Linked DNA regions of Sus scrofa. The protein of the gene in region 3 interacts with the protein of the main gene of each other region in a pairwise test. Links are inferred from orthologs where the notes say so. Each region holds a gene or a part of one and is shown on either strand. Other genes may lie near its edges.

What was found.
Region 1: the proteins of TNIK (region 3) and ACTG1 interact in a two-hybrid assay, tested with the Homo sapiens proteins (2 studies listed by BioGRID and IntAct). The link is inferred for Sus scrofa from reciprocal best matches to the Homo sapiens genes TNIK and ACTG1.
Region 2: the proteins of TNIK (region 3) and GSE1 interact in a two-hybrid assay, tested with the Homo sapiens proteins (2 studies listed by BioGRID and IntAct). The link is inferred for Sus scrofa from reciprocal best matches to the Homo sapiens genes TNIK and GSE1.
Region 4: the proteins of TNIK (region 3) and HARS interact in a two-hybrid assay, tested with the Homo sapiens proteins (2 studies listed by BioGRID and IntAct). The link is inferred for Sus scrofa from reciprocal best matches to the Homo sapiens genes TNIK and HARS1.
Region 5: the proteins of TNIK (region 3) and AGTPBP1 interact in a two-hybrid assay, tested with the Homo sapiens proteins (2 studies listed by BioGRID and IntAct). The link is inferred for Sus scrofa from reciprocal best matches to the Homo sapiens genes TNIK and AGTPBP1.
Region 6: the proteins of TNIK (region 3) and CLU interact in a two-hybrid assay, tested with the Homo sapiens proteins (2 studies listed by BioGRID and IntAct). The link is inferred for Sus scrofa from reciprocal best matches to the Homo sapiens genes TNIK and CLU.
Region 7: the proteins of TNIK (region 3) and CNKSR2 interact in a two-hybrid assay, tested with the Homo sapiens proteins (2 studies listed by BioGRID and IntAct). The link is inferred for Sus scrofa from reciprocal best matches to the Homo sapiens genes TNIK and CNKSR2.

Annotation. Positions count from the first base shown.
Region 1 is NC_010454.4:1,318,832-1,323,448, forward strand, and holds ACTG1 (actin, cytoplasmic 2), read left to right. Parts: upstream 1-1,523; 5' UTR 1,524-1,667; intron 1,668-2,042; 5' UTR 2,043-2,048; coding exon 2,049-2,411; intron 2,412-2,701; coding exon 2,702-3,140; intron 3,141-3,235; coding exon 3,236-3,417; intron 3,418-3,508; coding exon 3,509-3,652; 3' UTR 3,653-4,388; downstream 4,389-4,617. UniProt on the Homo sapiens protein: Actins are highly conserved proteins that are involved in various types of cell motility and are ubiquitously expressed in all eukaryotic cells.
Region 2 is NC_010448.4:3,259,018-3,262,939, forward strand, and holds part of GSE1 (genetic suppressor element 1), read right to left. Parts: intron 3,692-3,922; coding exon 3,500-3,691; intron 3,095-3,499; coding exon 2,781-3,094; intron 1,902-2,780; coding exon 1,577-1,901; intron 1-1,576.
Region 3 is NC_010455.5:109,657,315-109,661,236, reverse strand, and holds part of TNIK (TRAF2 and NCK-interacting protein kinase), read left to right. Parts: intron 1-1,841; coding exon 1,842-1,976; intron 1,977-3,922. UniProt on the Homo sapiens protein: Serine/threonine kinase that acts as an essential activator of the Wnt signaling pathway. Recruited to promoters of Wnt target genes and required to activate their expression. May act by phosphorylating TCF4/TCF7L2.
Region 4 is NC_010444.4:142,398,194-142,402,550, reverse strand, and holds the start of HARS (histidine--tRNA ligase, cytoplasmic), read left to right. Parts: upstream 1-1,318; 5' UTR 1,319-1,414; coding exon 1,415-1,504; intron 1,505-1,783; coding exon 1,784-1,873; intron 1,874-4,357. Other genes in the region: probable histidine--tRNA ligase, mitochondrial, read right to left, coding at 968-1,075. UniProt on the Homo sapiens protein: Catalyzes the ATP-dependent ligation of histidine to the 3'-end of its cognate tRNA, via the formation of an aminoacyl-adenylate intermediate (His-AMP). Plays a role in axon guidance.
Region 5 is NC_010452.4:29,438,925-29,443,450, reverse strand, and holds the start of AGTPBP1 (cytosolic carboxypeptidase 1), read right to left. Parts: upstream 3,110-4,526; 5' UTR 3,101-3,109; intron 1-3,100. Other genes in the region: serine/arginine repetitive matrix protein 3-like, read left to right, coding at 3,110-3,648. UniProt on the Homo sapiens protein: Metallocarboxypeptidase that mediates protein deglutamylation of tubulin and non-tubulin target proteins.
Region 6 is NC_010456.5:11,345,951-11,350,617, reverse strand, and holds the start of CLU (clusterin precursor), read left to right. Parts: upstream 1-1,625; 5' UTR 1,626-1,640; coding exon 1,641-1,737; intron 1,738-2,772; coding exon of another isoform or gene 2,773-2,896; intron 2,897-3,269; coding exon 3,270-3,418; intron 3,419-4,667.
Region 7 is NC_010461.5:17,787,759-17,791,680, reverse strand, and holds part of CNKSR2 (connector enhancer of kinase suppressor of ras 2), read right to left. Parts: intron 1,834-3,922; coding exon 1,733-1,833; intron 1-1,732.

The DNA.
Region 1 (4,617 bases), on a different chromosome or scaffold from region 3:
AGGCCCAGCCCCCGGTTCTCCCAAGAGTGGCACACGCACACACCAGGCCTTGCCCTGTGCCTTTGGAAAGTCTGGGAAGTCGGGTACCCAGCTAGGCCTGGTGGCACAGGTGGCCGTAGGCATGGATTGCGTTTGGGTGACAGAGGTTCCCCCCCAGGTGAGCTGGGCAGCGGCTTTACCTGTCTAGCCCAACGCAGATGTGAACACCAGCTGAAGGGCTCTTGGGGCACCTGGTCCCGCCCCCCCATCGGCAGACACCTGCCCAGGTCCAGCCAAGCATACTGGGACCCTGACAAGGCCCCAGACTCGGTCTGCCCGGCACCACTGCCACCCCTCTTGGCCAGTGCTCTCTCTTCCCTGTGGCTCTTTTGATGTTTAATTCCGTGCTGAGCAATCCCGAAAGCTTCCAAAGTACCTGGTTCCCTCTGGGCATAACCAAAGCACTGGTGGCAGCAGGTGTGACCAAGACCCTGCCAGCAGTGACAGGACTTCAAGACCAGCCTCCTGGGGAAAAGGGCGCGCCCTGGAGCCGACTGGACCCACAGCCCCAGAGTTACTGAGGCCTAGGAAACCCACTCCAGGCGTGGCCGTTTCCTAGTATCATAAACAGAGAAGAGGGTGCCCCGCTCAAGTCTAGGGGGAAGGTGATGATTCAGGTAGCCCCTGCCTCAGTTTCCATACAACACTCAAAAGTAATTAAAATGGAGCAAAACTCCACCACCTCCCCCGCGGACGAGGAGGGGGTGGCCCCAAACGCAGAGAGGAGCCGCCGCCTGGGGACAATCGGGTCTGCGGTTTGAGGCGCAGGATGCGTTGGTTGGGTGTGGTAGGACGGGGCCTGTCTCTGCACAATCAGGGACCCCCGGCGCCCCGACACCGGCGGAGGGGCCTTGGCGGTGGTGGCTGCGCTAGGAAACGGGCGGCTCCTTCTCGTCGTGAGAAGGGCGAGGTCACGGCTCCCCGGGACTCCCCCGGACCGCCGGGCCCACAGTGCCGCCACGGCGACCGGCGGCGACCACCGCCCTCTCCCCTCCCCCACGCCCCCAGCTCAGCACCGAGAAGCCGCCTCGCGGCCCGAGCTCCCTGCAGAGCCTCGGGGAGGAAACTCGCAGGGGGCGCGCGGGGAGCGAAGCCCCCCTGCGGGGGCGGGGCGCGGGAACACACCCTGCTCCCGGTGCCGCCCAGCCCCGGGCCAGGCAGTTTCGGGGTGCAGCCGGGCCCTCCCCCAGGGTGCGCGACAGTCCCGGGGCGGAGCCGGCGGGTCAGCTCTGCGGCCCACCCTGCGACCCCGGGGGCGGTGGGGGGGGGAATCGCCAGCCCGGCCCGCTAGCCTGCCCCGCGCGGGGTCTCGCGCGCGGGGTCGCGGGCGCGCGGGGGCGGCGCGGGCGGGGCGGTTGGGGGCGGTGCGGGAGGGGGCGGGACCGGGCGCGGGGCCCCACGTGCCCCGGCCGGCCGGGCCAATGGGCGCCCGGCGTTCGGAAAGATCGCCATATATGGACATGTTCTGGGGCCGCGCGCGCCGCCGGGCCGCGCGCGCCCCCCGCTCCGCTTAAATAGGGGCGGGGGAGGCCGCGGTCGGTCTCGCTCGCCGCAGCCGGCCCGCGCTCCGTGTCTTCTCGCCGCTCCTCCGCTCGCTCCTCCGCGCCCCGCGGCCGCCGTCTCCGCCGGTAGGTGACCAGGCCTGCGCAGCTCCGGCCCGGTGTCCGGCTCTCGCGCTCCTCCGCAGGCCCGGCCCCGGCCCCAGAGGCCCGGCTTCACCGCCGCTGGCAACAAAAGGGGCGGCCGGGCGGGCCCCCGGGGTCCGCAGTGGGGGCGCCCTCGGGGGCGGGAGCTGGGTGGGGTCCGGCCGCACTGCCGAGCGCTCTGGGCCGCGCCGCCGCGGAACGGCGGCGGGCGGGGGGGTTACATAAAAGGCGGCCCCGGTTCCGGGCGGTTTCTCCGCTGCCGGGCCGGGGGGAGGCGGAGCGTCTCGCGGGCAGGGCCTTTGCAGGGGCCGTCCCGGCGCCGCTGGGCGCGCCTGAGCCGCTCGTGCCTTTGAGCAGATCGCCATGGAAGAAGAGATCGCCGCGCTGGTCATCGACAATGGCTCCGGCATGTGCAAAGCTGGCTTTGCTGGGGATGACGCCCCCCGGGCCGTGTTCCCGTCCATCGTCGGGCGTCCCCGACACCAGGGTGTCATGGTGGGCATGGGCCAGAAGGACAGCTACGTGGGCGACGAGGCTCAGAGCAAGCGGGGCATCCTGACCCTCAAGTACCCCATCGAACACGGCATCGTCACCAACTGGGACGACATGGAGAAGATCTGGCATCACACCTTCTACAACGAGCTGCGCGTGGCCCCCGAGGAGCACCCCGTGCTGCTCACGGAGGCCCCCCTGAACCCCAAGGCCAACCGTGAGAAGATGACTCAGGTAGGCGCTGCCGGGTGCAGTGGGCCGTTTCCATCCGTTTCATGAGTCGTTTAGTGCTGAGCTTTTGGGTTTTTTTTCCTGAAATTCAAGTGTTTCTTTCGATATTTTCAGGGTTCTGTTCTTCTCCTGGCATTTCCTTCCTGAAGTCTCAAGGTTTCTCGTTTGTGTTTCTGCCTGCTTCCTTTTCTTTTCTCCACACATCACATCACGTTTGTGGCATGTCGGCATGGTGTGTAGCATGGGGTGGCCCGGGGTCCCTTCTCTGACTAAGGAGCCGTTGCCTTTCCCAGATCATGTTCGAGACCTTCAACACGCCGGCCATGTACGTGGCCATCCAGGCCGTGCTGTCCCTGTACGCCTCTGGCCGCACCACTGGCATTGTCATGGACTCTGGGGATGGGGTCACCCACACGGTGCCCATCTACGAGGGGTACGCCCTGCCCCACGCCATCCTGCGTCTGGACCTGGCTGGCCGGGACCTGACCGACTACCTCATGAAGATCCTCACGGAGCGGGGCTACAGCTTCACCACCACGGCCGAGCGGGAGATCGTGCGGGACATCAAGGAGAAGCTCTGCTACGTCGCCCTGGACTTCGAGCAGGAGATGGCCACCGCCGCGTCCTCCTCCTCCCTGGAGAAGAGCTACGAGCTGCCCGACGGCCAGGTCATCACCATCGGCAACGAGCGCTTCCGGTGTCCAGAGGCGCTCTTCCAGCCCTCCTTCTTGGGTAGGTGTCGGGCAGCGCGGCCTGCCTGGGGGGGGCCCGGGGGCTCATCCCCTTGCACGGGGGACCGCTAAGGGGGCGCTCTGTCGGCCTCTCAGGCATGGAGTCCTGCGGCATCCACGAGACCACCTTCAACTCGATCATGAAGTGCGACGTGGACATCAGGAAGGACCTCTACGCCAACACGGTGCTGTCTGGCGGGACCACCATGTACCCCGGCATCGCCGACAGGATGCAGAAGGAGATCACGGCCCTGGCGCCCAGCACCATGAAGATCAAGGTGAGTCGGGTGGCCGTGGGGTCGGCAGGCGGCCTTGCTGGGACCCAGGGCTTGGCTGCCGGAGACTGAAGTCCCGCCCTTGTCTCCCCAGATCATCGCGCCTCCCGAGCGCAAGTACTCGGTGTGGATCGGGGGCTCCATCCTGGCCTCGCTGTCCACCTTCCAGCAGATGTGGATCAGCAAGCAGGAGTACGACGAGTCGGGCCCGTCCATCGTCCACCGCAAATGCTTCTAGACGGACTGCGAGCAGATGCGTAGCATTTGCTGCATGAGCTAATCCAGAAATAAAGTTTGCCCTGGCAAATGTACACACCTCATGCCAGCCTCCTGAAACTGGAATAAGCCTTTGAAAAGAAATTTGTCCTTGAAGCTTGTATCTGGTATCAGCACTGGATTGTAGACCTTGTTGCTGATTTTGACCTTGTACTCGAGTTAACTCTTCCCTTGGTCTCTGTTTAATACCCTGTGCATATCTTTGATTTAAACCCCTAGTTACACACACGCGGCTCTGTCACCTCGTGGCTGAGGTGAGAACCTGTTTATCGTGGAAGAGAAATCCGTTGGCTGGTTGAGAATCTGAGACGGAGTCTCTCCGATCTGTGCAGGGTATTCATGTGTCCGAGCTCCTATTCCAGGATTTCTCTCGAGGCTGGCAAGAGTCCTGAACCAGTTGTCATTTCTGTCTTGCCGGTCTGACGGGGTTGGGAAGGTCCGAGCCTTAGGACCCACTGTCCTTTCTTCCCCGATGTTTGCCCGCCAGAAAACCGTGGGTTGTTAACTTGCCTTGAGTTGGAAGCGTTTGCATTCACACCTGTAAATTTATTCATCCTTTTAATTTATGTAAGGTTTTTGTACGCAATTCTCAATTCCTTAAGAGATGACAACAGATTTTGGTTTTCTACTGTCACGTGAGAACGTTAGGCCCCAGCAACGCGTCATTGTGAGGAAATAAAGTGCTGCAGTAAACCCTTCGCCGGCTCCTGCTTGGGCGCGGGGCGGCTTCCCCACCAATGGGGGGCCCGCGGTCTGACTTGGGAAAACCAGAGGTGGGCTGGGTGTGTTGAGAACCAGTGGTCCCTGAACATGTGTGCAGCGCGCCTCTGCCCCCCGGGGGTGGGCTGCTGGGGAAGGGAGCCGAGCCCCCAAGCTGCTTGTGGGGGGCGGTCTACAGACAGGCTTTCCCTACCTGGCAGTAGGGCT
Region 2 (3,922 bases), on a different chromosome or scaffold from region 3:
GGGACTCTTTGCTTGGTGCATTTAAAACAAAATTCGGCTTCCAAATTCCCAGTTGGGTGCTGTCTTCCCCAAGTTGACCTACTTCCTTAGGGAAAGCTCCGTGCTGCCAAGGTGACCGGCCAGAAGGGGAAGGGACAGAGGCCACGGAGCACATGACCAGGCTCTCAGGGCTCCCCCTGCCTGGCTGGGGGCGACGTCTAACCACAGCCGCCCAGGCTGCGGCACCTCCGCTGGGCAGACCCAGAAGGGAACCGCGTCGAGACGTTCCGTGTCCTTAAGTAACAGCAAAGGAGTAACACCCGCGAGCGCGGTAACTATTTCACGCACTGGCGTCAAGCACAGCTTGGCTGTGTCCAGCTCGGGGCACAAGGCCCTGGGACCATCGGTTCACACTGCCAAGGGGGCCGTCCAGGCAGGGGCGCTATTTGCCCCCAGGCCTGTAGCAGGTTCTACGGCAGAGGCCACCCCTGCTGGGGACAGCAGCGCACAGGCCCTGACAGCTGTTCTGGGGTCCCGGGGCCCCCAAGCAAAGGAAGACATCCTCAGGAGTGGTCAGAGCGCCCTGAATTTACCAGGAGGGCTGGGCGAGTGCTGGCTGCTCCCCCAGCCCCGGGGGGTGAGCAGAGAGGGCAGCTCACAGGCAGATGAGCCAGTCCTTGTGTGGCCTCAAGTGGGCCCAGAGAAGCGAAGGGACAGTCTACAGAGGGGACCTCACTGCGGCCACACCAAGCAGAGCAGGCCAGAGGCTGTGGGACACCCAGCCAGGGGCCCGGCCATGGTTTACTCCCGGTTACACCCAACGAGCCAAGCAAATGCCCTCAGCACCCTACTCAGCGGATGCAGAGGCAGGGCTGCTGGATGGGCCAGCTGCACCCGTGACAGCCAGAAAACCCACAGGTCAGCCCACAGCTGGACCCAGACAGCGCCACGGACGCCGCGCTGCAGAGGCGCTCGGAAGCCCTCCCGCTCAACCTCCTCCATGCACAAGTGAGGAAGGGGCCCCGAAACCAGGGCCCCCCAGGCCCGGCTCTCTCCACCGCCCTGGCTGAGGGTCTCAGCCCAGCTCTTCTGATAGAGCCCTGCAAGGACGGAGGGTGGGGTAGGGGACGCAAGGTGACAATCAGGTCAACAGGCGGCAGCAGCGAATCCCCAGGGTGGACAGAGGCCCAACTCACAAGGTGTCTACACTAGGGGTCCTGCCAGGGGTCCCAGAGGTGGGCACAAAGGCCTCTGGGAAAATCTTTCTAATGGGGCTGGGGACTAGGTGTGTTTTTTTTTTTTTTTTAAATTACTAAAGCAATACAATGAATTTTTTTGTTTAAAAATTAAAGGCAGTTGCCATCTCATTTAGAAAAATTTGGGCAGAGGGAGTGGGAGAGATGTGATTATTAACTGAAAAGTCCCTCGGCCTCTGCAGGGCCCCAGGGTCCTGCGTGGGAGGGGCCCGGGCTCCGGACCCAGGCGCCCGCGAGCAGCTGCTCTCCCCGCTCCCTCTGCTCCCTCCTGGGCGAGACTGGCGGGGGTGGCAGGGGCAGGGGCGGCGAAATGAAACCTCAGCGGCGGTGCCCGGCCCCACCTGGCGCTCTCAGGCCTGTGCTCCGTCTCTGCAGGCGCCGGGGGCCGGCCCATGTCCAGGTGCTGCTCCAGCACCTGCTGCCGGAACTCGGACACCTGCGACTGCCGGTCCTCCTTCTCCTGCCGCAGCCGCCGCTGCCGCGCCAGCCACTTCTCCTCCTCGTTGGTGCGCTGGATGAGCAGGGCCGTGGCGGCGCTGCTGCCCGGGAGCGAGAAGAGGCCATGGTTGGAGAGGAGGCTGGGCACCGGGTGGTGGGGAGTGGGCGCCGGGTGCAGGGGGTGCTGCACGGCCTTGGGCGCCTGCAGGCCCGCATCCTTCAGCTTCTCTGTAGGGGAGAAAGGCCATCACAGCGGGTCTCAGCCCTCCGCCCTGCCTGGGCTCTGGGAAGGGCGCTGCCCTGCAGCCACGGCTCAGACACGAAAGCTGCCCACAGATGCTCCTGCATGCAGGCCTGGCTGCCAGGGACAGCGGCAGGCCTTGGGGTGGTCAGCTGAGCCTCCTGGGGGCTCGCCTTGTCCCGAGACATTCCTGGCAAGGGGTGCGGAGCAGGCTCATACCCCCTTGGCAGAGCAGACTCAAATTTGGGGGAGCCACGCACACCAGCAGTTAAACTCGCTATTATTAAAAGTGAGATTATGTATACTCACAATGAAACAAAATATGCCTAAAAACTAAGGTTAAAAAAACACTCAAGGAGTTCCCATCGTGGCGTAGTCGACAGGAATCCGACTAGGAACCATGAGGACGCAGGTTCAATCCCTGGCCTCGCTCACTGGGTCAAGGATCTGGCGCTGCCGAGAGCTGTGGCGTAGGTCTCACACGCGGTTCAGATCCTGCGTTGCTGTGGCTGTGGTGTCGGCTGGAGCTCTGACTGGACCCCCAGCCTGGGAACTGCCATATGCCATGGGTGCAGCCCTAAAATGCAAAAAAAAAAAAAAAAAAAAAAAAAGCCAAAACCCAAAACCTCCAAACTATCACTTCCTAAGGTTGTGGCTGCATGTTTCTGTGGCACACATCGTGGCAGTTATCTACGTCCATGGCATCTGTATCACAGTCTCTCTTCTCAGCTCCCTAACCTGGGAATGTCACTCCTGCCGGCTCCCGGTGCAGGGACCTCAGGCTCATTCACAGCCGGACACTGACAAGGTCAGCCGGGCTCTGGCCGGGGGCAGCGCCCCGGGCACAGTCCCCCCGCCTTGGGTACCTGCTCGGGTCGGGGTCAGCTGCTCGGAGGGCTTGCCGCGATCCTCGGTGGCGTGGCTCCGCAGCCCGTGCAGCTCGGCCACCGGCAGGAAGGCCGGCTCCAGCGCCTTGGCGGCCAGCAGCTCCTTCTCGCGGGCGCGCTGCTGCTCCCGCTGGCGCTCCAGCTCCCGCTCCTTCTCGCGCTCGCGCTCCAGCTCCTTCTCGCGCTCGCGCTCCTTCTCCCGCTCCCGTTCGCGCTCCTTCTCCCGCTCGCGGTCGGCTTCCCGCTCTCGCTCGCGCTCCCTCTCCCGCCTCAGCTCCTCGTCCATCTGCAGCCTGCGGGGCACAGGGAGCCGGTGACCTCCACCGCGGAGGGTGCGGGGGCCGGGACCGTCCATCAGGGAGAAGCCCCCGGGGCCAGACACCGACACCTGAGCCCAAGGTTTTGGCGGGAGACCCCAGCGTTCCCCTGGAAACAGTGCCGGGAGACGAGCCAGGTTCTGGTTCTGCTAACACGCCTACGAACTCGAAGGCCCTTAGATCAAAAGCTGTGTACAAACTCCCTTAAGGCCCCCGGGAAGCTCACAGCCTGGGCTGGTGACTCAGGACGCAGCCTCGCCGGGCACCAGCCAGGACCTCGGAGCACCCGCCCTCTGCCCTCGAAGTGAGGGCAGCAGGTGCCGAGGAGCCCGCCGGCCACGCCCAAGGAGCCGAAGGCACCTGTCCCCGGATGGGGCTTACCTCTCGGCGCTGAGGCTGGACATCCGCTCCGAGTGCAGCGCGGCCAGGGACGAGTGCGGGAGCTCAGGCGGGTAGCGGACCCCGGAGAGGTGGAGGTGCACAGCTGACGGGTGCAGCGGGGGCAGGGAGCCGGGGGCAGGGATGGGGTAGAAGGGGGACCGCAGGGCCGACAGGCAGTAGGAGTCGTCCATCCTGTGCCGGGAAGACGGGCCTGGTGAGCACTGCCCTTCAGGGGAAAAAGGCAGGAGCAGCCCGACTGCCAGGTGCCCCGGCCAGGGACTGGGCTGCTCCGAGCGCGCTGGGCAGGGCGGGCGGCCGCAGCGCCTCCCAGAGGCCCTGGAGACAGAGGCACGTCCCAGAGCCCCTTCCTCGCGGAGACTGATGGATGCCAACAGCTCGGCCCAGGCTGGGTGGAGACCCACA
Region 3 (3,922 bases):
TTGATTGCTGCACTACCAATTCAAATATATCTGCCAGTCACCTACCAAAAGTGGAAATGATAGAAGAAAATTCATGGTTAGGCCTCATTGTGTTGTTAGTGACAGATCCCATTTTTAAAAGTATAACAGTTTCCTGCACGTTGGTAGGGAAAGAAGAAAATGGAAATAGGAGCCAAAGATTCTTGAACTGCCCTCTGATCTGTGTTGGCCCAGAGAGAAGGAAGCACCCCCACCCTCCTCCCACCCACCTTAGCTGTTGGGGTCCATGCATAATCAGTGCTTTCAGTTATAAAAGAATAGTAACTGCACAGGGGTTCCCTTAATTTAAGTTATAAACGTGCTCTCTTGTCAAATCCAGTGTGCAGTGCTTTAGTGAATCTGTTTTTCTGGTGTATATTACATCTGCAACTTATAAAACATGTTTTGATGCCTAAGAGAAATCAAAGGAAAATAAGGACCCAAGAAGTATACCCCACAGGCCTGAATTACTGATCACGTGGTAAAAGCCACCCCAAGGGACATGTTCTTATCTGGTATTTGTACAATCTTAGATCGTATATTAAGTTTTTCTCCTTACTTACTCCTTAATGTTTTTAAGATGTTTTCATATCATACTAAGAATTCTTTTCTTCCTTTTTTTTTTGTTTTTGTTTTTGTTTTTGCTTTTTCTTTTTAAGGCCTCACCTGTGGCATATGGAGGTTCCCAGGCTAGGGGTCCAAGCAGAGCTGCAGCCTCCGGCCTACGCCACAGCCATAGCAATGCAGGATCCGAGCCACATCTGCGACCTACACCACAGCTCACAGCAATGCCAGATCTTTAACCCACTGAGGCCAGGGATCGAACCTGCAACCTCATGGTTCCTAGTTGGATTCGTTTCCACTGTGCCATGATGAGAACTCCTCATACTAAGAATTCTTTACTCCAGGATCACTTTGCAATCTTTTACCAAAGGAATTTTTACATTTTTTCCCCCCAAGTACACATCTTTCTTTTTAATAGCCACACCTCTGACACATGGAGGTTCCCAGGCTAAGGGTCGAAATGGAGCTGCAGCTGCCGGCCTACGCCACAGCCACAGCCCCCTGAGATCCGAGCTGCATCTGTGACCCACCCTGCAGCTTTCAGCAATGCCGGATCCTTAACCCACTAAGCAAGGCCAGGGATCAGACTCGCATCCTCATGGATACTATGTTGGGTTCTTAACCCACTGAGCCAAAATGGCAACTCCAACCAAGTATACAACTTTTTCTCCTTTCTTATTTTTTTAAATATGCCTTTCAGTAATCTCAGCACGATAAACGTGTCCAAGGATATTTTCTGCACTCAGATTGCCTTCACTGAATTTGTTTCTCTTGTCTCCTTACAAAATTCCTTTTTCTTTTTGTTGGGTAACAGAGGCTCTCCATTAACATATGCTGTTGGTCAGAAGGTGAGGGAAAGGCAGACATGACAAGTATGCTGAAATATCCAGTTGTCCACACCTTCCTTGTAGATCTAACTAGACTGTATTGGAATGCTAATCGACCATCCCGTTAGAGTATTGGGTCTTGCTGAGTTCAGCAGACACTGCCCTTTGCATTGGGAGGAGAGAGTAAGAGCAGCTGAAGGTAAAGACACTTTATAAAATAGTGACTGGTCCAAAACACTTGGACTGTTTTAATCGTCAGTCCTGGCAGAGACATTACTTTGATGCTGGGGATACTGGTTCTTTGTGCCTTCAAATGTACACACACATAATTGTTAATAAAAGTAAGTTAATAAAATATAATGGAGCTGGGGAAGGACTGAGGGAAAGAGCTGTCTCAGGGCCTTGAAAATTAAAGCTCTGTTATTTCAACAGGAAAGAAGAATAAGCTACGTGTTTACTATCTTTCATGGTTAAGAAACAGAATACTCCACAATGACCCAGAAGTCGAAAAGAAACAAGGCTGGATCACGGTTGGGGACTTGGAAGGCTGTATACATTACAAAGTTGGTAAGTCTCAAGACATGGAACTGTTCACTCAATCCAGATTATTTGGTTAAGTTTCATTTGTTTTGTTTTGTTTTTTTCTGTCAGATATTGTTGATGCATTTGTGACTGGTTTAAGGCACTCTAGAACCTTAAGTATACTTGTATTATTTCAAAAAAAGTCAGACTGATGAAGTTCAAAGAGTGCTTTCAGAATAAAGTCCTGAGCCCCAGCTTGAACTTCTTCTCAGAGACCCATTAAAATGACAGTGAAGGAATAAAAGGGCCAGAAGAGAAACCAAGCAAGAGATGTCAGCACAATTGGACAAGAGTAGTTAGCTAACTAGAAATAGACCCAGCTGACCAAGAAATGCTGAATTCTAAGTCTGCAGTGAGGAAAGTCATCAAAATCAATCCAGTCACTCAACAAAACCCAGAGAAGCTGAGGACCTGAGGCTCCCGAGGTATCAGAGGTGGAGATGGAGGGTGGGACTGAAGAAGGGAAGATAGCTGGAAAGTTGATGAACAGCAAACCCTCCAGAACTCAGGCGGCCACCTCCCCTGACTGCAACAAAAGATGAAAGGCTGGCACAGCCAGTCTGGGGGTGAGGAGTCCTGAATTATGAGGTTACACACACACACACACACACACACACACACATCCTTTCTTCCCTTGTTTAGGTCCCAAAATAGCCATACTTATACTCCCAAGCAAGAGATTGAAAGATTGTCTTTTGAGAAACTAAACAGCCAGAAAGAAAATATGTTCAGATAGTAATATTTGAAATGCCATGATAAAAGCACCTGACCACCTTAAATGGAAGCCTAGTAATCATAAGCCCACCTATATCAGACAGCAGGGAAATCTACTAATAGAAAGGAAACTTAAACAAAAAGTATGTGTTGCTGTTTTCTTGTGATTCTTTTTTCATTCTCTGAATGAAAGGATAATAAGGAGGGGAACAAAGTTTTTTAGAAAGAAACTTTAAGAGTTTAGAAATACCATTTCCTTAAAAGAAGAATAGGGGTTATTTTATTTTATTTTATTCATTTTATTTTTGTGTGTCTTTTTAAGGACGCACCCATGGCATATGGAAGTTCCCAAGCTAGGAATCAAATCAGAGCTGTAGCTGCCAGCCTACACCACAGCCACAGCAATGCCAGATCTGAGCTATGTCTGCGACCTACACCACAGCTCACAGCAACGCCAGATCCTTAACCCACCGAGCGAGGCCAGGGATCGAACCCACATTCTCATGGATACTAGTCGGATTTGTTACCACTGAGCCACAACAGGAACTCCAAGAATAGGAGTTATTTAAAAAAAAAGGGGGGGGGGGATGGAGCAGAGTTGGAGGAGGTCATTCAGAGACTAGGAAAAAATCTTGGAAATTAAAATACATTGGCAGGAATAAAAAATGAAATAGAACGGTTGGAAGATAATGATGAGAGATGTCCTAGAGAATAGAATGAAAAGAAACAGGAGAGAAAAGGTAAGAAAATAAAAGATCCAGTCCAAATGGTTCAAAATCTAAGTTATGGGAATTTTTGCAAAAAGGGAAATTAAGAAATGAGAGGGGAAGAAAGTATCAAAGAAAGAGAATTAAGAAGTTTCTACAACTAAAATCTCAAAATCTCAAATTAAAATATTCAAAGAAAATGAAAAAAGACTCACAAGAAAATAGCAACACATAGTTCAGTACCCAGGAAAGGAGAACATTCTTAAATCTTCCAAATTATAAATAAATAGATAAACAGTTTACAATTACATATGGAAGCCCCAGAATTAGGTGGCCTAGCACTCAGCAGCAACACTAGAGGATTAGAAGACAAAGGATCCTCCAGTATTCTAAAAGAAAAATTATTTTCACTCAGTGTTTTATAATCCATCTGTATTAGTCAGGGTTCTTCAGAGAAGCATAACCTCTAGGGTGTGGGTGTGGGTGTAGAGAAAGAGAAAAAAATAAATA
Region 4 (4,357 bases), on a different chromosome or scaffold from region 3:
ATTAGCACAATCCCCAGTTCTCGGCTCCTACTCAAAGAGTGAAAGTAAGAATTTTTAAGGAGTTCCCCTCGTGGCTCAGTGGAAATGAATCCAACTAGCATCCATGTGGACACAGGTTCCATCCCTGGCCTTGCTCAGTGGGTTAAGGATCCAGTGTTGCCATGAACTGTGGAGTAGGTCAAAGTTTTGGCTTGGATCCTGCATTGCTATGGCTGTGGCGTAGGCCAGCAGCTACAGCTCCAATTTGTCCCCTAGCCTGGGAACCTCCATATGCCACAGGGGCATCCCTAAAAAAAAAACAAAATAAAAAATTCAAAAAAAAAAAAGAATTTTTAATAAGGTAGTAATGGTCCTTAGGCTTGGACCAGTCTTCCTAGAAGACTTTTTCCCAAGGTACAACAAAATCACTGATTCTGTTTATTTCCAGATATAGACGGTGGAGTAGTTCTATACTTTGGCAGGTTCTGTCCTTCAAAGGATGGCAGTTGAAGTCCACATTCCCTCCTCTACAAGTCAAAATCTCTGAAAACTAAAAATCGGAGTGGGGGGGATATGAAGGAGTCTCATTTTGACGTAAATTCTAATGTGAATTCAGTCTATTTAGGGTCATTAGTCACCTCAGTGGAACGTTCATATATTTTGCTTAAAGTTTGTTTATGTGCTAGACGCCAAAAGGTTCTGAAAGGGATTATGAATCTACATTAAAATGTTCCCTCACTATGCAGCCATAGGTAAGTCATTTAACCTGGCAGCCTTCATTTCCTCAACTATAAAGTAGAAATAATAACCCCAACCTCTCAAGATGGCTATGATTAATGACAGAGCATCCTAAAAGGCTCTGTGTCGGCACTTGGTGGGCACGCAATAAAAACCGACTGTGACAGTGCGGGAGTGCAGGCCGCGAGCCCATGCTTTCAGACCTGGAAATCCTGCCCCGACAGACCAGAGCTAGCTCAGTCTGGCTCACCTGGCTATGAGAACGGACCGCCCCAATGCATACGGCACCGGGCGGCCGCCGGAGCTGGCCAAGCAGCGCAGCCCAGGCCCTTCCATGCAGGAATCCGAGCTGGGGCATCGTGAGGCAGTGAGACGGCTTTCCGGGACAGGAGGCAAAGGACCTAGGAAGGAGGCAAAAAAGACCCCAGGAAGGGTACAGGGCGCGGTAGAGGTGAAGCCCAGACTCTACAGAAGAAATAAGCGCTTCTACACCATCTAAATCCCGCAAGGTGGCTTGGGTCCTTTCCGGCTCCCTCCCAGCATTTACACTTCCGGTAGGAGCCGGAAGTGATTGTTGTCCTGGGTGGTGGCTCTCTAGGCATGTGAGCCCGCGACTCGGTAGCCGGAAGTCGTCCGAGCTGAGGCTGTGGCCGCCACAGCCGATCTGGACAGCAATCAGCTCCGGCTGGCAGCCAGTATGGCAGGGCGTGAGACGCTGGAGGAACTGGTGCGACTTCAGGGAGAGCGCGTGCGGGGCCTTAAGCAGCAGAAGGCCAGCACTGAGCAGGTGCGACCCAGGCGGCAGGGGAGGGAACAAGGCAAGGCCAGGGAGGACATAGAACGTGGGTGGGCTGCACAGAGGCTGAAGATATGGAAGCAGGGACCGGACTGGTAGGGAGGAGGATGGGCTCGGTGGGGAGGTAGCTGCGATAGGACCCAAGAGAAGGAAGGATGGGCCTGGGAGACAGATCTGCCGCACTTCTCGATGAGCGAGAGATACTGAATGAATGGCGGGGAAGGGAAGGAGTGGATGTGATACAGCCCAGCGCCTGCTTTCCCTCCACAGATCGAGGAGGAGGTGGCAAAACTACTGAAACTGAAGGCACAGCTCGGCCCTGATGAAGGGAAACATAAGTTTGTGCTCAAAACTCCCAAGGTGAGTATCATATCTTTAAGGAGCCTCTGAGAGGGTGCCTGCTTCCCTGAACCGGGTCATTGAGGAGGATCTGAAATGCTGCAGAGGAAACAACAGTTACTCTGAGTGCCAGGCTGGGCTGGACTCTACCTGAGTCATTCTGGGATGGCAAAGTGATGGCAGAAACTAGGCCAGCTAAGTATTTAGGGGCGTCTACCTGCTACTGCTACTCCTTTTTGATTCAGTAAATATTTTTTGAGTGATCGCTACACAAGGTGAGTGTACCATGGTAAACAACATAGCCACCCCTCAGCTCACATTCTACTGAAGCAAACAGACCTAGGAGATATGATCCCACACATAGATATGTAACTACAACTTGGTTAAGTGATGTAAAGAAATAACAAAGTGCTCTGAGAAAAATAAGGGACAAGTGGGGAATCTGAGAAAGCCTCCCTAAAAAAGTGATAGACTAGCTGACCTAAAAGATGAGTGGGAGATAGATGAAGAGTCAGAAGAAGATAGGTCCAGATAGGGAGTGGAAATCCTTTTTTGGGGGGGGGGGGCTTGCCTGCATCAATGTGTAAGTTACCTGGCCAAGAATTGAACCCACACCACAGCAGCCACCTGGGCCACTGCAGTGACAAGCCAGATGCTTGGCCTGCTGTGCCACAGGGGACTCCAGGGAATGGAAGTCCTGAAGCGAGAATGAAACTTTGTAGTTTCCAGGAACTATAAAAAGACCTCATGGCTAGAACCAGATGGAGAAGTAGAAATGAAGATAGAGAGTGAAATAAAGTTGGAGAGTCTTAGCTCAGCATCCATGATGTCAGTTCAGATGCTACTTCTATAAGTTCTATAAACTGAACTATTTACCCTTCATCTGGGTTCCCTCGGCACTTGACAAATATACCTCCGTTACCACATTTATTGCTGCCTTTTCATTATTCACATGGTTTACTTAGCCTGAGAGGCTGAGATTGGAATTGAGTAGCTATTCAATGAAAGTGTGTGAAACTGAATTCCAAAGGAGAGGTCAGATGATCTGTCTTCCTTGTCTTGAGATGCCCCATTTTAAGATTAATTCTTTGGGCTCCTACATTCATTGAGCTCTTCCTTTCTACATATAAGTCATTTCAGAGGTTAAAGAGACAGTGTTAAAACCTCCGGGCAGTGGTCATCAATAGTTATTCAAACTATTGGGAGGAAAGATGAATGGGAATTTATGATAGATCAGGCTGGCCTCACCTAAACTCATCAGTCCATCTTAGCATCACTAAAAGTAGGACGAGATATTATTGTGGGCCTCCTGATGTAATGCAATAAGAATTGCACAGCACCACCTATGAAGTGTTCTTGCCAAGAATTATACTGAATCATTCTTCACACCTAACTACCACTTTACTGGAAATACATGAAAATGTTAAATTAAAACATTGAGTATACAGTTAACCAAAACTAGAATGGGAAAAATTCTTTAGGAAAAAATGGCTCATTTCTTCAACAAATGAAGGAATTCTTTTTTAAAAAAAAGGAAAGCAGGAGTTCCCATCGTGGCGCAGTGGTTAATGAATCTGCCTAGGAACCATGAGGTTGCAGGTTCCATCCCTGACCTTGCTCGGTGGGTTAAGGATCTGGCATTGCCGTGAGCTGTGGTGTAGGCCAGTGGAGTGGCTACAGATCCAATTAGACCCCTAGCCTGGGAACCTCCATATGCCCCGGGAGTGGCCCAAGAAAAGGCAAAAAAAAAAAAGGCAGACTGTTGCAGATTAAAAAAACATGAGATATCACCCAAATACAAGGCATGAACTTCGTTTAGACTCTGACTCAGGAGTTCCCTTATGGAGTTCCCTTGTGGCAGAGCAAGTTAAATATCTGTCATTGGTCACTGCAACAGCCTGGGCACTTCCGTGCCACAGGTTTGATCCCTGGCCAGGGAACTTCCACATGACGCAGGCGCAGCCAAAAAAAAAAAACCCCGAACAAAAACGAATCATTCAAACAAGCCAACCATAAAAAGGTATTATTGAGGCAATTTGGGGTAATTAAAAATGGTTTGGTAATTAAAAATGGTTTGGCAAGGTAAAGGGTTGCTCTTCGTTGGTTGCAAGAAAGGAGGTATTGTAGTTTTTTGTTCTGTTTGTGATGTAAGAGACTAAGACTGAAATATTTATGGATGACATTTTATGATATCTGGGATTTACCTTTTTTTTTTTCTTTTTAGGGCCGAACCTGTGGCACATGGAAATTCCCAGGATAGAGGTCGAATCAGAGCAGTAGCTGCCAGCCTATGCCATAGCCACAGCAAAGCTGGATCCAAGCCGCATCTGTGACCTACACCACAGCCTGCAGCAACACCAGATCCTTAACCCACCAAGCAAGGCCAGTAATCAAACCTGCATCCTCGGAGTTCCCACTGTGGCTCGGCAGTGATGAACTCGACTGGTATCCATGAAGATGCAGGTTTGATCCCTGACCTCGCTCAGTGGGTTAAAGGATGCAGCG
Region 5 (4,526 bases), on a different chromosome or scaffold from region 3:
TTATATGGAACAACAAAAGACCCAGAATCGCCAAAGCAATCCTGAGAAACAAAAACCAAGCAGGAGGCATAACTCTCCCAGACTTCAAGAAATACTACAAAGCCACAGTCATCAAAACAGTGTGGTACTGGTATCAAAACAGACAGACAGACCAATGGAACAGAATAGAGAATCTGGAAATTAACCCTGACACCTATGGTCAATTAATCTTTGACAAGGGAGGCAAGAACATAAAATGGGAAAAGGAAAGTCTATTCAGCAAGCATTGCTGGGAAACCTGGACAGCTGTATGCAAAGCAATGAAACTAGAACACACCCTCACACCATGCACAAAAATAAACTCCAAATGGCTGAAAGACTTAAATATACGACAGGACACCATCAAACTCCTAGAAGAAAACATAGGCAAAACACTCTCTGACATCAACATCATGAATATTTTCTCAGGTCAGTCTCCCAAAGCAATAGAAACTAGAGCAAAAATAAACCCATGGGACCTCATCAAACTGAAAAGCTTTTGCACAGCAAAGGAAACCCAAAAGAAAACAAAAGACAACTTACAGAATGGGAGAAAATAGTTTCAAATGATGCAACTGACAAGGGCTTAATCTCTAGAATATACAAGCAACTTATACAACTCAACAGCAAAAAACCAATCAATCAATGGAAAAATGGGCAAAAGACCTGAATAGACATTTCTCCAAAGAAGATATACAGATGGCCAACAAACACATGAAAAAATGCTCAACATCGCTGATTATAAGAGAAATGCAAATCAAAACTACCATGAGATACCACCTCACACCAGTCAGAATGGCCATCATTAATAAATCCACAAATAACAAGTGCTGGAGGGGCTGTGGAGAAAAGGGAACCCTCCTGCACTGTTGGTGGGAATGTCAACTGGTACAGCCACTATGGAGAACAGTTTGGAGATACCTTAGAAATCTATACATAGAACTTCCATATGACCCTGCAATCCCACTCTTGGGCATCTATCCGGACAAAGCTCTACTTAAAAGAGACACATGCACCCGCATGTTCATTGCAGCACTATTCACAATAGCCAGGACATGGAAACAATCCAAATGTCCATCGACAGAGGATTGGATTCGGAAGATGTGGTATATATACACGATGGAATACTACTCAGCCATTAAAAAGGATGACATCATGCCATTTGCAGCAACATGGATGGAACTAGAGAATCTCATACTGAGTGAAATGAGCCAGAAAGACAAAGACAAATACCATATGACATCACTTATAACTGGAATCTAATATCCAGCACAAATGAACATCTCCTCAGAAAAGAAAATCAATCATGGACTTGGAGAAGAGACTTGTGGTTGCCTGATGGGAGGGGGAGGGAGTGGGAGGGATCGGGAGCTTGGGCTTATCAGTCACAACGTAGAATAGATTTACAAGGAGATCCCGCTGAATAGCATTGAGAACTATGTCTAGATACTCATGTTGCAACAGAAGAAATGGTGGGGGGAAAAACTGTAATTGTAATGTATACATGTAAGGATAACCTGACCCCCTTGCTGTACAGTGGGAAAATAAAATAAAATTTAATATAAAAAAAAAAAAAAAAAAAAAAAAAAAAAAAAAAAACAAGTCGTGTTACAACTCCGCCTTAAGAATGAGAAAAAGTGGATAAGGCACTGCTGACTATCTCACAGTAACTACACAAGAAAATGCTGATAGAGCTTTCAGGGTTCTGCTTGGTTTCGATGAACACTTGGCACATGTTTTAAAATATGTACCATTTAAGGTGCCTTAAATAAACTACTACTTTTTTGGCCTACTGAACTGAAAACATTCCACAATACATTACAAAAATAACTTTCTGACTTTCTCAGGGAATTAAGAAAAAAAGACAACTTATAAGACGAATTCAGAGGTTAACAAAGAAAGACATAACTCCATTTATATAAAGATTCCAATGAGGACATAAATGGTAAAGGAAAATAAGTGATCCAGAAGACTGCTAAAGTCCTTGCTAACTATAAACTGTCGTGCATCATAAACTCTGCCATAATTGTGAATACCTGGGGGGAAAAAAAAAAAAACACCCACAAAGAAGTAATACCGCCAAAGAAAATTTCTACCGGATCTTACAACATATTAGGTCATCAACAGTGCACCTGCAGGCTCTTGAGGACTCTATCTTAAAACGAGAAATGGGCTTTAAGTATAAAAGCCATTCTGCATCAATGTTTTATAACTCCATTCTATAATGAGTAAAATGCCCAGGAAAGGAAACTAACCGATTCAAAACCGTACTGGCACTTTAAGAAACTTAAAGGTACAGGAGGGAAACCACACCATAGGGCTCCGCAAGCCTTTGCGCTGGGTTGCAAGAGGCCCTGAATACTTGCAATAAAGAACCCGCAACTCAGGAAGGAAGGCTGGAGGGAAACACTGCACTGTCATCTAGGGCGATGATTCAGGTTCAAATCAAACCCACAAGGCGACAAGTTGTAAGCAGAGAAGACACTTCAGGTCAAGCCACCCATTGAGAGGAAGTAAGCCTCGCCAACGCCACATCCCACCTGAAAGCCTAGCGCACCTAGAGGGTGAGAGCTAGGGTGGGTGCTGGGGTGGGTGGGGAGGCTGGGCGCGCGCCCGGCCCCGGCCCGCCGCCCCTCCGCTCTGCTCCGCGCTGTACCGAGGCCACCGGCGCTTGGGGCCCGAGAGAAAGGGGTGGCAGGACGGGTGGCCGCCTGTGCTCGGAGACCGCGCCAGGAATCCTCCGCGGCGACCGGGAAGGGGGCGACCGGGGCGGGGGCTTCCCAGTGTCCGTGGGTGGGGGCGGGGTGGGACGTTTTCCAGACACCGGCCAAAGCCCCCATCCATCAGGCGTTTCCCTTCAAGACCGGGTCCACCCCCGAAAGACACGGGTTACACAACCTGTCAGGTAAGGGGCGGAGGGGTGGCAGGGCACAGACCACGGCGGGCTCAGGGCCGCTCCTCCCTGGCTTCTCCCGCCCCCAGGATGCCGCGGCCGGAGAGAGCAGAGGGGTGGCGGGCAGCCGGGCAAGTCGCGGGCGAGGGGCTGCTGGCCCGGACGCGCGGACAGCGGAGCGGCGCTCACCGGCTCAGGATGGGGCGCTGGCAGGGACCAGGCAGAGCCGCAGCACCCAGTTCGGCGTCAGCAGCACTTGCGGCTGCTCTCCCGGCTCACGACGGATTCCTCGCCGCCCGCCGCCGGGTGTTTTCATACAAACCCCGGTGGCAGGCGAGGAGGAGGCGGCTGCAGCAGTGGCGGCGGCGGCGGCGGCGGCGGCGGCGGAACCTGCCCGCATCCCGGGCAACGTCAGCGCGGCGCCCCGCCCACCGCACTGCTAGGCCAGCCGGCTCGCGCGCGCCGGGCAGGAGGGAGCGCGGGGCGCGCGTGCAAGATGGGCGCGCGCCGGCGGGGAGGGCGGGTCACGCGCGGGCAGAAGCGGCGGGGGCCCGGGGAGCGCGCGTGGGGAAGCTGGGAGCGCGCGCAAAGGAGAGGGCGGGGCGAACGCGGTTGTTTGGAAGCCGGGAAAACGCGGTCGGGATCCTGGAGCCCGGCTGTTCGCGGCGCTGGCTGTCGTCCACTGCAGCTGCCGCCCTACCCGACCAAATGGGTCTCCCGGCGGCTGCCCGCGTCCTGTAAGTCACCTTGCTCTGCTCTCTCAATTAGAGCCTCCGCCTTTTCCTAGAACTAAGCTGGAGCCACCCCGACAGTCTTATGAGGCTTTTGGCAGCACCACACCAGTGGCTGTTAACTCTCCGACGCACGTGGTACCGGGGTGGCATTGGACCTTGGGGACCGCAGTAGAACAGAGCCTTTTACTGACCTCAGGGAGAGTCCTTAATAGGGTGAAGACTATCAGCTCTCACAGCCAGGCTCCCAGAACACAATGAAATTCTACCTTGTGGTCATACCTCAATAAATCAGATACCTAGTGCTGCAAGGAACAAAATTTCATGCTGATTTAATTTTTGCTTTTTTTGTAACGTGCGTACATATAGTCACAAAAAAATGGTAATGCTGAATGAGCCACTAAAGACAAAGATGGAATGTTTTCTCTGAGCCAAAATAATGTGTCAGAGAGATAAAATACCGATACACTCACTCTCTTCTGTTTCGACTGCATGTGAACACATTATAACGTATTCTTAATAAACACTGACATTTACTTTTTTTTTTCCAGAGCATAGGTCACGTTTGCTGCTGTTTATAGTAGCTGGTAAGAAATGTAAAATTATTACAGCTGGATAGGGAAATAAATTGAGAGCTGTGAGGTTTTTGTTTCATTTTCTTATCATCATATTTAAAAGAACTTATGCAGGTGCGAAGGTCATTTCAAAGGTAATCCAAGGTGCAGCATCTGTGCTGCCTGCAGTTTGCCCTTGGCAGATGTCTTTACTACGATGAACAAGAAACTGCCATTTTATAAATGCCATAGTTTCCCTGATTAGGAGCACCAAAAGGTAGGTTATAGCATTTTAAATAATTTTAGAACAATTACCACCCCAAGCCATCC
Region 6 (4,667 bases), on a different chromosome or scaffold from region 3:
ACTGAGACTCAGAGTTAAATGACTTGGTGTTAAGGAAAGGACACTGGCCTGGGGATTGGGAGAGCTGGGTCCTCATCCTGGGGCTGCCACATACTTGCTGCAGGCTTTGGGAAGCCCCATCCTGTCTGTGGGTTTGGCTTCCCCTCCAAGGGGGAGGGATTGGACAGGAGACTGGTTTCTTTCCCAGCTCGGAGCTCTATGGCTCCCGTGGTCCCAGTCCTGGTAGGAGATCCTACACTGACCACTGCTTTCCAGACTCCTCATGAAGGGCTCTTGCCTTTGGCTGCCCTGCCTCCCTTCCTCTCAGGACCCAATGCCCTGTCTTCTGGTATCAGAGGCTTATGTATGGATTTCTCAGAAATCATTGCCATCAGGGGCCTCCACACAACATCAGGGGTGTTTCTTGCTGGCTTTCTCTCTCTGGTGTGACAAAGGCTCTGTCCCTGCTCCAGGCGTTTCAGGCCTCAGTGAGCAGCTGGGGCAGAGCCGAGACACCTGAATTAGCGCCTGGCTCCACCACCCACTCACCATCTCTGGGGAAGGTGGTGACCCCGCCCTCTTCTCCCACGCTGCTTGAGAACCACAGCTCGGCTGCTTTGCTAATGATGTCTCAGGAGAGGTTTGCTTTATGAATATGCTCCCGAGGGTCCAGGGGGGCCTGCCAAGCTGAGAGCAGCTTCTGGATGTGCACCATCTCAGGAAGGAGAGACCCCCTTCCCGTTCTGTTCAGGGAAGTGGGCGAGTTCAGATTAGCGGTTCTGGGGAGGAGGTGCAGGGCACGGGGGTTCTGTTTTGCAACAGCTTCAGCTTCTGGGAAAGGGTCCATTGTGTAAGACCAGCTGGTCCAGAGCTCAGGGCAGCTGGCCGAGTGGTGGTGGGAGGACCTTGGCAGACACCCTGCTGTGGGCTTAGAATGTGCTAACCCAGAGGTCTGAGGTCCTCACTGCCTCAGACCCTGAAAAAGCAGTTTCAGGAGGTGTTGAGGCTTAGAGGCGGGCAGGGGGTAGGGGGGAGGAACTGCTGTGATTGATTGGTGATGTCTGCTGGGGCAGGATGGGTGATGCACACAGCAGCGGCCTGGACTGTCTGCACTCTGGACTGCAGTCCCCACTTTGGCAGGGGGAGGACGGGAGAGGCCAGATGAGTGACCCAAGAGAGGTGTTTTCAGAGTTTGTTTGATGTGAGCAGGTATCAGCAGATAGATGCCCTGCCTGGATGCAGACAGTATTGTGCCTTGCTCAGGCTTAGTCAGCTATTAAGGGTAAAGGGAGGAGAACGAGGAAAAGGGGGAGAAGGAGGAGGGGGACAGGGGGAGGGCAGCTTGGACCTGAGCCTGGTGGCTGTGACTCTGGAGTTCTTATATTAGGCTGCTGTCCTGTGGTTCCTGCCTCTATCTACTCCTTCCACTTGTCCGTGGCAAGTCTGAGCCTTTCTTGTCACTTCCCCAGATAAAGGGCAGTGGTGCCAGCTGAGGGGGTAGCCGAGGGCAAGGCCTCTGCTGGGCGCCTGGGAAGCCGAAGCCTCTGCAGGCAGCAGGCTAGAGCGGAAACCCCCCAGGCTGCCTGGCTGTTACCATGACAGTCCCTTGTTCTCTACAAACAGAGGCGTGCTAGAATTCCAGAACTGGAGAAGCAGGCGAGATGAAGACTCTGCTGCTCTTGGTGGGGCTGCTGCTGACCTGGGAGAATGGCCCCTGGGTGCTGGGGGACAAGGCCATCTCGGACAAAGAGCTCCAGGGTAAGTGAGCCTGTGCGCCTCCTCACATGCTCCCTCCCCGTCCTGGGTCCCAGGGTTAGAGAGCACCTTTCTCCCTCCTGTGCATCCCGTCGCACCTGCTCTGCCCCAGCCTTGCTGAGGCCTCCCTCGCCAGCCTGGGCTTTGCTGTCAGCTTGATTTCAAGGCAGTTTCAGGTTGTTCTCAAGCCCTTTCTGGCTGCTGCACCTCACTGGTCTGTTTCCCTCCGAGCCTGGCACCCACACCTCCTCCATGAAACCCCATGAAGCCTGGACCCTTGGCGCCTCTGTGGCCTGCCGTTTCTGAGTTGCCGGGGCACTTGTTCCCTGTATCCATCCCTTTCCACCTAGGAAACCAGTGCCCTGGATTCAGGAGAGGGGAACTCTCATTCCCTAAGAGGCTTGACATCCTTCAGAGCCCCGCTGGTGGTCCCCTCTTCTGCCAGACCTTTCCTGAAACCTAAATTCCCTCCTCCCCACTCTGTCCTAGCAGCTGACCACTGCAGGGCAGTAGTTAAAAACCCTGAGATCAGTTCTGGGTGGGTGTCTGGCTCCACCCTCCCCAGCTGTCTGATCTTGGGTGAGTGTCTTGATCTCTTTATCCTCATTGGTGCTGTGGGGTGAGGACAGATGGGCATGTTAAATAAAATGCATAAGAAGTGTTCAGCTTTGGAGTTCCTGTCATGGCTCAGTGGTAACGAATCCGACCAGTATGCATGAAGACGAGGGTTTGATCCCTGGCTTTGCTGTGTGTTAAGGATCTGGCATTGCCATGAGATGTGGTGTAAGCCACAGACACAGCTCAGATCTGGCATTGCTGTGGCTGTGGCATAGGCCGGCAGCTACAGCTCCAATTTGCCCCCTAGCCTGGGAACTTTCATATGCTGTGGGTGTGGCGCAAAAAAAAAAAAAAGAGAGAGAGAGAGAGAAGCGTTCAGCTCAGCTCCTGGCTCAAGATCAGAAACGTATTGGCTGTTATTTTCGGAAGTTCATTGACACTGTCTCATTGCATTTGTCACCCTGCTGTGTCTGATCACAGTCCCCTCGAGGAATGGTGTTGTTAATCCACAGTGCTTCCTGTCCCCGTCTCCTGACACCATGCATTGGAACAAAGAAGAACACATGCGTGCTTAAACTCAAGTCCAGAAAGACTTGTATCCAAAGTAATAATATTTACATTTTCATGCTTAAGCAGTTACCCTTGAAAATTTTCTTCGGCAGCCAATTAGGCTGCTTCTCCAGAGCCCTGGAGGTGGCCTGGGTTGTCTCTCCTCTGGGGTGTGTCTCTCTGATGGTTGGTGTTTCTGAGCAGGGTGGGGTGTAATGGATGCTCCTCGGTCCTGGGTCTGCAGTGAGCCCTGTGATGGAACTTGGGTTGGCAGAGGCTGGGCCCGAAGGCTGCCTGTCAGGGGCTCCTAGGCTTGGCAGCCCCTAGACCCACTGGCCTTTCCGACCCTTCCAGCTGGTTCCAGGCTTATATCCCCAGCACCATTCCTTCCTCTCGCCCCATCTACCTCCCTTGCGCTTTTCTTGCAGAAATGTCCACCGAGGGGAGTAAGTACGTTAATAAAGAAATTAAAAATGCCCTCAAGGAGGTGAAACAGATAAAGACCCTAATAGAACAATCAAATGAAGAGCGCAAATCACTGCTCAGCTCCCTGGAGGAAGCCAAGAAGAAGAAAGAGGTGAGGAAGAGCCAGGTGCCCCCCCCCCCCCCCCCGCCCTGACCCTCTGTGCAGGGGGGAGGGACTGGCTGTCGCTCCTCTGGATGGCCTGCCAGGTTGTCAGCCAGGTTGCCATGGCAACCCACAGTCCTTCCAGGCGGTGTCAGCTGATCCTGGGGCTGTGGTTAACAAACAGGGAAGGTTTATTTGCTTTTGAAAGCTTCAAGGGGTGAGATCTTGGATCTGGTTTTGTTACCAGCCTGGCCCAGGGCCTGCTGCCAAGATTCACTTCAGTAGATTTTGCTAGACCTTGATTATGACCAAACTCCAAGGCAGGCTTTGGGTAGGGTCTGTCACGGACATGGGTTAGGAGGGGGATGGCACCCCACCTTCAGGAAGCTTGTCTTGGAGGGGTACAGGGTATCTTTGGGGGTACAGTGGGCACACACTGCCCATGTCTTTCTAGAGTTCTGGACTACTTCATAAAGAGACACCCAGGTCCCTGGTGAACATACAAAACTAAAATTCTGCAATTCAATAAACAGCTTATTTTTTTAAAAAATCAATAGTCTCCTTAAGGGTATCCTCAAAGCCTACTCCCGTAGTCATACCTTCCCCCATGACAAAGAAGCTGTGATGGGGCCACCTGTCACCGTTGTGATCCCCAACACATAGAGTAAAAGCATTGTAAAGACTTGGAGAGGTTCTTCAGTAAAGAAACACATGGAACTTCATTTAACCCAAGTGTTTTTTTCCCAATCGAAGTGACCCAGGAATCCATTATTTTCCTCCCCAACTGTTTGTAGCAGAGCTCTCACTTTCTTTGAAGCTTAAGGCCCTTTCTTGGCATCAGTCTTCGTTCTCACGATACGCTAAGAATCCTTTTAGAGCCCATGTAGAAGCAGCCAGTCTTGCTCTTGAATTTTTACAGTTCTCCTTGAGGTTCAATGTTTGACCATCCATGTTCCATGACAAAGCACATCAAATTTGAAAAAAGACCCTATGACTTCTTAGTGGAAGAGCATGTGAACTGGAAAGAAAGTAAGAGGGCAGAATAGTTGCTGCCTGTGAATCAGCCCAGTAGGAGGTGTGTGCAGAGCTGAGGGCCGGGGACAAGGGACATGGGGCAGGGAACGATCTCACATACCCCAAAATCCTCCTGGTCAGATAGTCATAGTGTAGCTTTGCTTTGGCTGTGGATGGTCTACTTAATTCTTTGAAAACTAAGCTACTCATGTATCAAGATTTTCACCTAGAAAAGCAGGAGTAG
Region 7 (3,922 bases), on a different chromosome or scaffold from region 3:
CACAATGGGGAGCTCCCCACTTTTACAAAAATTTTAAGGGAATTATTCAGACCCTGATGTTTTAGGGAAAGAGGTAAAATATGATAGAAACTATATATTGTTACTGACCTAGTTATTTCAGTTACACAGTTCATCCTTGCATTCTGTTGACCTTGGTACACTGCAGCATTTATTAAGAATATGTGCATATGGATGGGAACAATTCTGCATTTTTTTTCCTTCTGTCCTGTTTCCCTTAGGTAAGAGATACTGTCATCAAACATTTCAATTAAAAATGTGACTTTGGAAGTTCGTGGCTCAGTGGTTAGTGAACCCGACTAGCATCCATGAGGATGCAGGTTTGATCCCTGGCCTTGTTCAGTGGGTTGAGGATACAAAGGGTTGCCGTGAGCTGTGGTATAGGTCACAGACGTGGCTCAGATCTAGCGTTGCCATGCGTGGCTGTGGTATAGGCTGGTGGGCTACAGCTCTGACTGGACCCCTAGCCTGCGAATCTCTATATGCCTCAGGTGTGGCCCTCAAAAGACAACAACAACAAAAAAAATGTGACTTTCCTTTTAGTCATTAACCCAAAGTATTCATTCTTTCATTTCATTTATTTATTTCAAAAATATTTACTGAGCACTTAATAAATAAGTGCCAGTAGTGGGCTAGGACAAGGGGATGTGTAGATGAATAGAACAGGGTCTCTGTTCTCAAAAAAATAAAAAGTTCACAGTCCAGTCCAGTGAGCTGTTTGCAGTCCCAAATATTCTGATTTTATATGTCTTGATTAGGCCTGAGTATCTGCTGTTCTAAAACATTCCAAGGGTGATTCTTATGCACAGCCAAGGTTAAGAAGTGGCCTAGAATTTTATCAAAGTCTTGCAGAGCATTCTTCTTGTTAAAAATCCCCTGGAGTAAAAGGGAGGTGGAATTAGGTTGGCTGCTACTGTCACCTAAATCCAGCTTCCATTTCCTATGTGGAAGACTCAGTCCCAAGACAGGCAGAATTGACCAAACAATGTGTTGCCTAAACTGGGACAGTATTGAGACACATTTGGTAATTCTGATGGGAAATGGGCATAAACTGGGATAGGCCCAAGCAAATCAGGACAGTTGTTTACTCTATGAAAGGATCGAGGTACACTCTATATACAGAATGATTTACACAGGTTTAAGAAGCCTTAAGAAGAAGAGCACCATATAAACACATACATTAAACCGGGCTCCATGGCTGTCTGAAAAGCTACATGCCAAAACATGTTCAATACAGATATAGTATTAGTTTTTATGAGTTGCTTCTAAAAGACATAGGAATGAATTTATCACATCTGTAGTTGTATAATGATCATAACAATCCAATAAATTCATTTGAGTAATTAAAAAAAAAATAAAATAAAAAACATAGGAATGAACTTTGTTAGTCTACAACAGATAAGGTCAATTTAGACATCTCAAGCTAAGAAAACTTTTTAGTTGTTGATATTTCTATGAAGGCAGCTCTGACACAAATGGCATTTTTTCTTAAAACTGATATTTATTAGGCATGGAATCTGTGATGACTGTTCCTCTTGATTAAACATTCTTTGTATACTTAAAATTTTTTCCCTTATTACTTTTAGACAGCTTCCTCCTAAAAAACCCAAGGTCTGACATGTACTTCACTACATAATTTTTTTAAACATACAAATCGATATTTCAGGTCAAAGAATCTGATGCAATATTGAATACACTCCTATTGGCAACTTACGGAGGGAGGCCGTGGGTATGTATCGTAGGGGGGTGGAGGGCTGTCCTGTTTGGGTGTTGATGGAGTATCTGCTTCTTCCTTGTCACTCTCACTCCAATAATCTGCAAATTCACACACATGGACACATCAACATTCTATTAAAAGTTTCTAGCCATATTTTCAGGAACATACACCACCAGCTAACAAAAGGAAGTTTCAATCCCATTCCTACACCCTGCTCCCCAGCACTCCCTACTCTAGGCTCACCAACCTTTATTTTCGCTGGGTTTTGAGGTGGAAGGAAGAGTACGATCACCTGATCCCAATCTCCTTCTGAAGCAAGCATTTTCACAGAGCCACAATTTTAAGGAGTTAAGAAAAGGCACCGCATAAGACAAATCGGGTTTAGGGTATCTTAGGTTTCCGCCACACCCAGGGCACAGGGAAATTCCTGGGCCAGGGATTGAATCTGAGCCCCAGAGCTGCGACCTATGCTGAGTCCTTAACCCACTGCACCACAGCGGGAAATCCAAGTTTAGGGTATTTTACATTCTAGACGAAATAAATCACTTGAAGCTCAATTAATGAATGTCACATGATGCCTCTTAAAGGTGTATCATTTTATATTAAAGATGAACACTCAAAGAAGATCTCTACAGACATAAACAGCTCAAAAATAATGTTCTCAGTTCTCTTCTCTGGCTTCAGTTCACTGGTTACCTAACAATCGCTGTTTCCAGTCATGCTGACATGAGTCTCTATAACACCATACTCCCACCTCTACTTGGAAACACATGGCAAACTCTGATTCTTGCCAAACACAAAAGGGCAAATCTGCTGATGTGGGTTGTAAGTTCCAAACTTCTAGAACTACTTGAAAGGGTAGAAAATGTAAGCCGCTAGACAAAGTGACTTGGCAGACCTGAGGCAAGAGGGAAGGGGAAAAACTCTGAGAGATACATTCATTGAGTAAGAAAAATATAGCACAAAGGCCAATAATCAGAATAAGATATTCTACCATATCCTAACCGCCCTGCAACTGCTGGGTTAATTCTTTATGTGATTTACAAGGAAAAAACCTGTAAGTATTACGCGTGTGAATTTCAGATGATAAGAGAAAAGGCATTAAAGCAAAAGGTTCCTTATTCTTAGGAAAATCTAAATCACAAAAGAAACAGCAGAAGGCTTAACTAATATCCAGATTTAGGTAAAAAGTCACGGCACATATTTTTACAGGTACCCTTCTCCACCCAGGATTTCCCACATTGTTTTACATATATATATAGAGGGGGGGGGCTTGTAGTGCTGATTAATAAGTATGGCTAACATGTATTGAGCACTTACTATATAAACAGAAAATAACAGAACTGGGAATTGAACTAAGAAACTGCCTTGCTCTAAACCACTGGGTCTCTTTTGTATGACTTGGTGGGAGAATTTCACATGACATATACTCTCGATCCTTCCAGCCCCCTCCTCCTGCTGCTCCATAACCCTGGCTATTGTGCAAGGAAATTCTTGAGCAATGGGAGTTCCCGTCGTGGCGCAGTGGTTAACGAATCCGACTAGGAACCATGAGGTGGCGGGTTCGGTCCCTGCCCTTGCTCAGTGGGTTAACGATCCGGCGTTGCCGTGAGCTGTGGTGTAGGTTGCAGACGCGGCTCGGATCCCGCGTTGCTGTGGCTCTGGCGTAGGCCGGTGGCCACAGCTCTGATTCGACCCCTAGCCTGGGAACCTCCATATGCCGCGGGAGCGGCCCAAGAAATAGCAACAACAACAACAAAAAGACAAAAAGACAAAAAAAAAAAAAAAAAAAAAGAAAAGAAATTCTTGAGCAATGGAGATTATTATATTCAGGTCTCAAAATACAAGGCCTCAAAATTCTATTCCTACCTTAATTATTCTGAGCAAAAGATAAACAAAGACTAGTTAACTTAAATCTGATATCTGGTTTTCATACTGGGTCACATACTAAGGAGAAGCACATTAAGTCTCTCCTCAAAAACGAATGAATGTAGTTGCCCAGAAACGGACCCAGTAAACACTGGTGGGAAAACCATGACTATATACTCATGTAGATGTAGGTTCAGTGCTTGGCTGTACCAACAACCATTTCTGCGCTCTTGTGATGGTTACTTAATCTCTCTGAGTTTGTTTCATCATCCGTAAAAGGGGGGGAGGGGCTAATAATAACCACCTTCCAGAATAGTG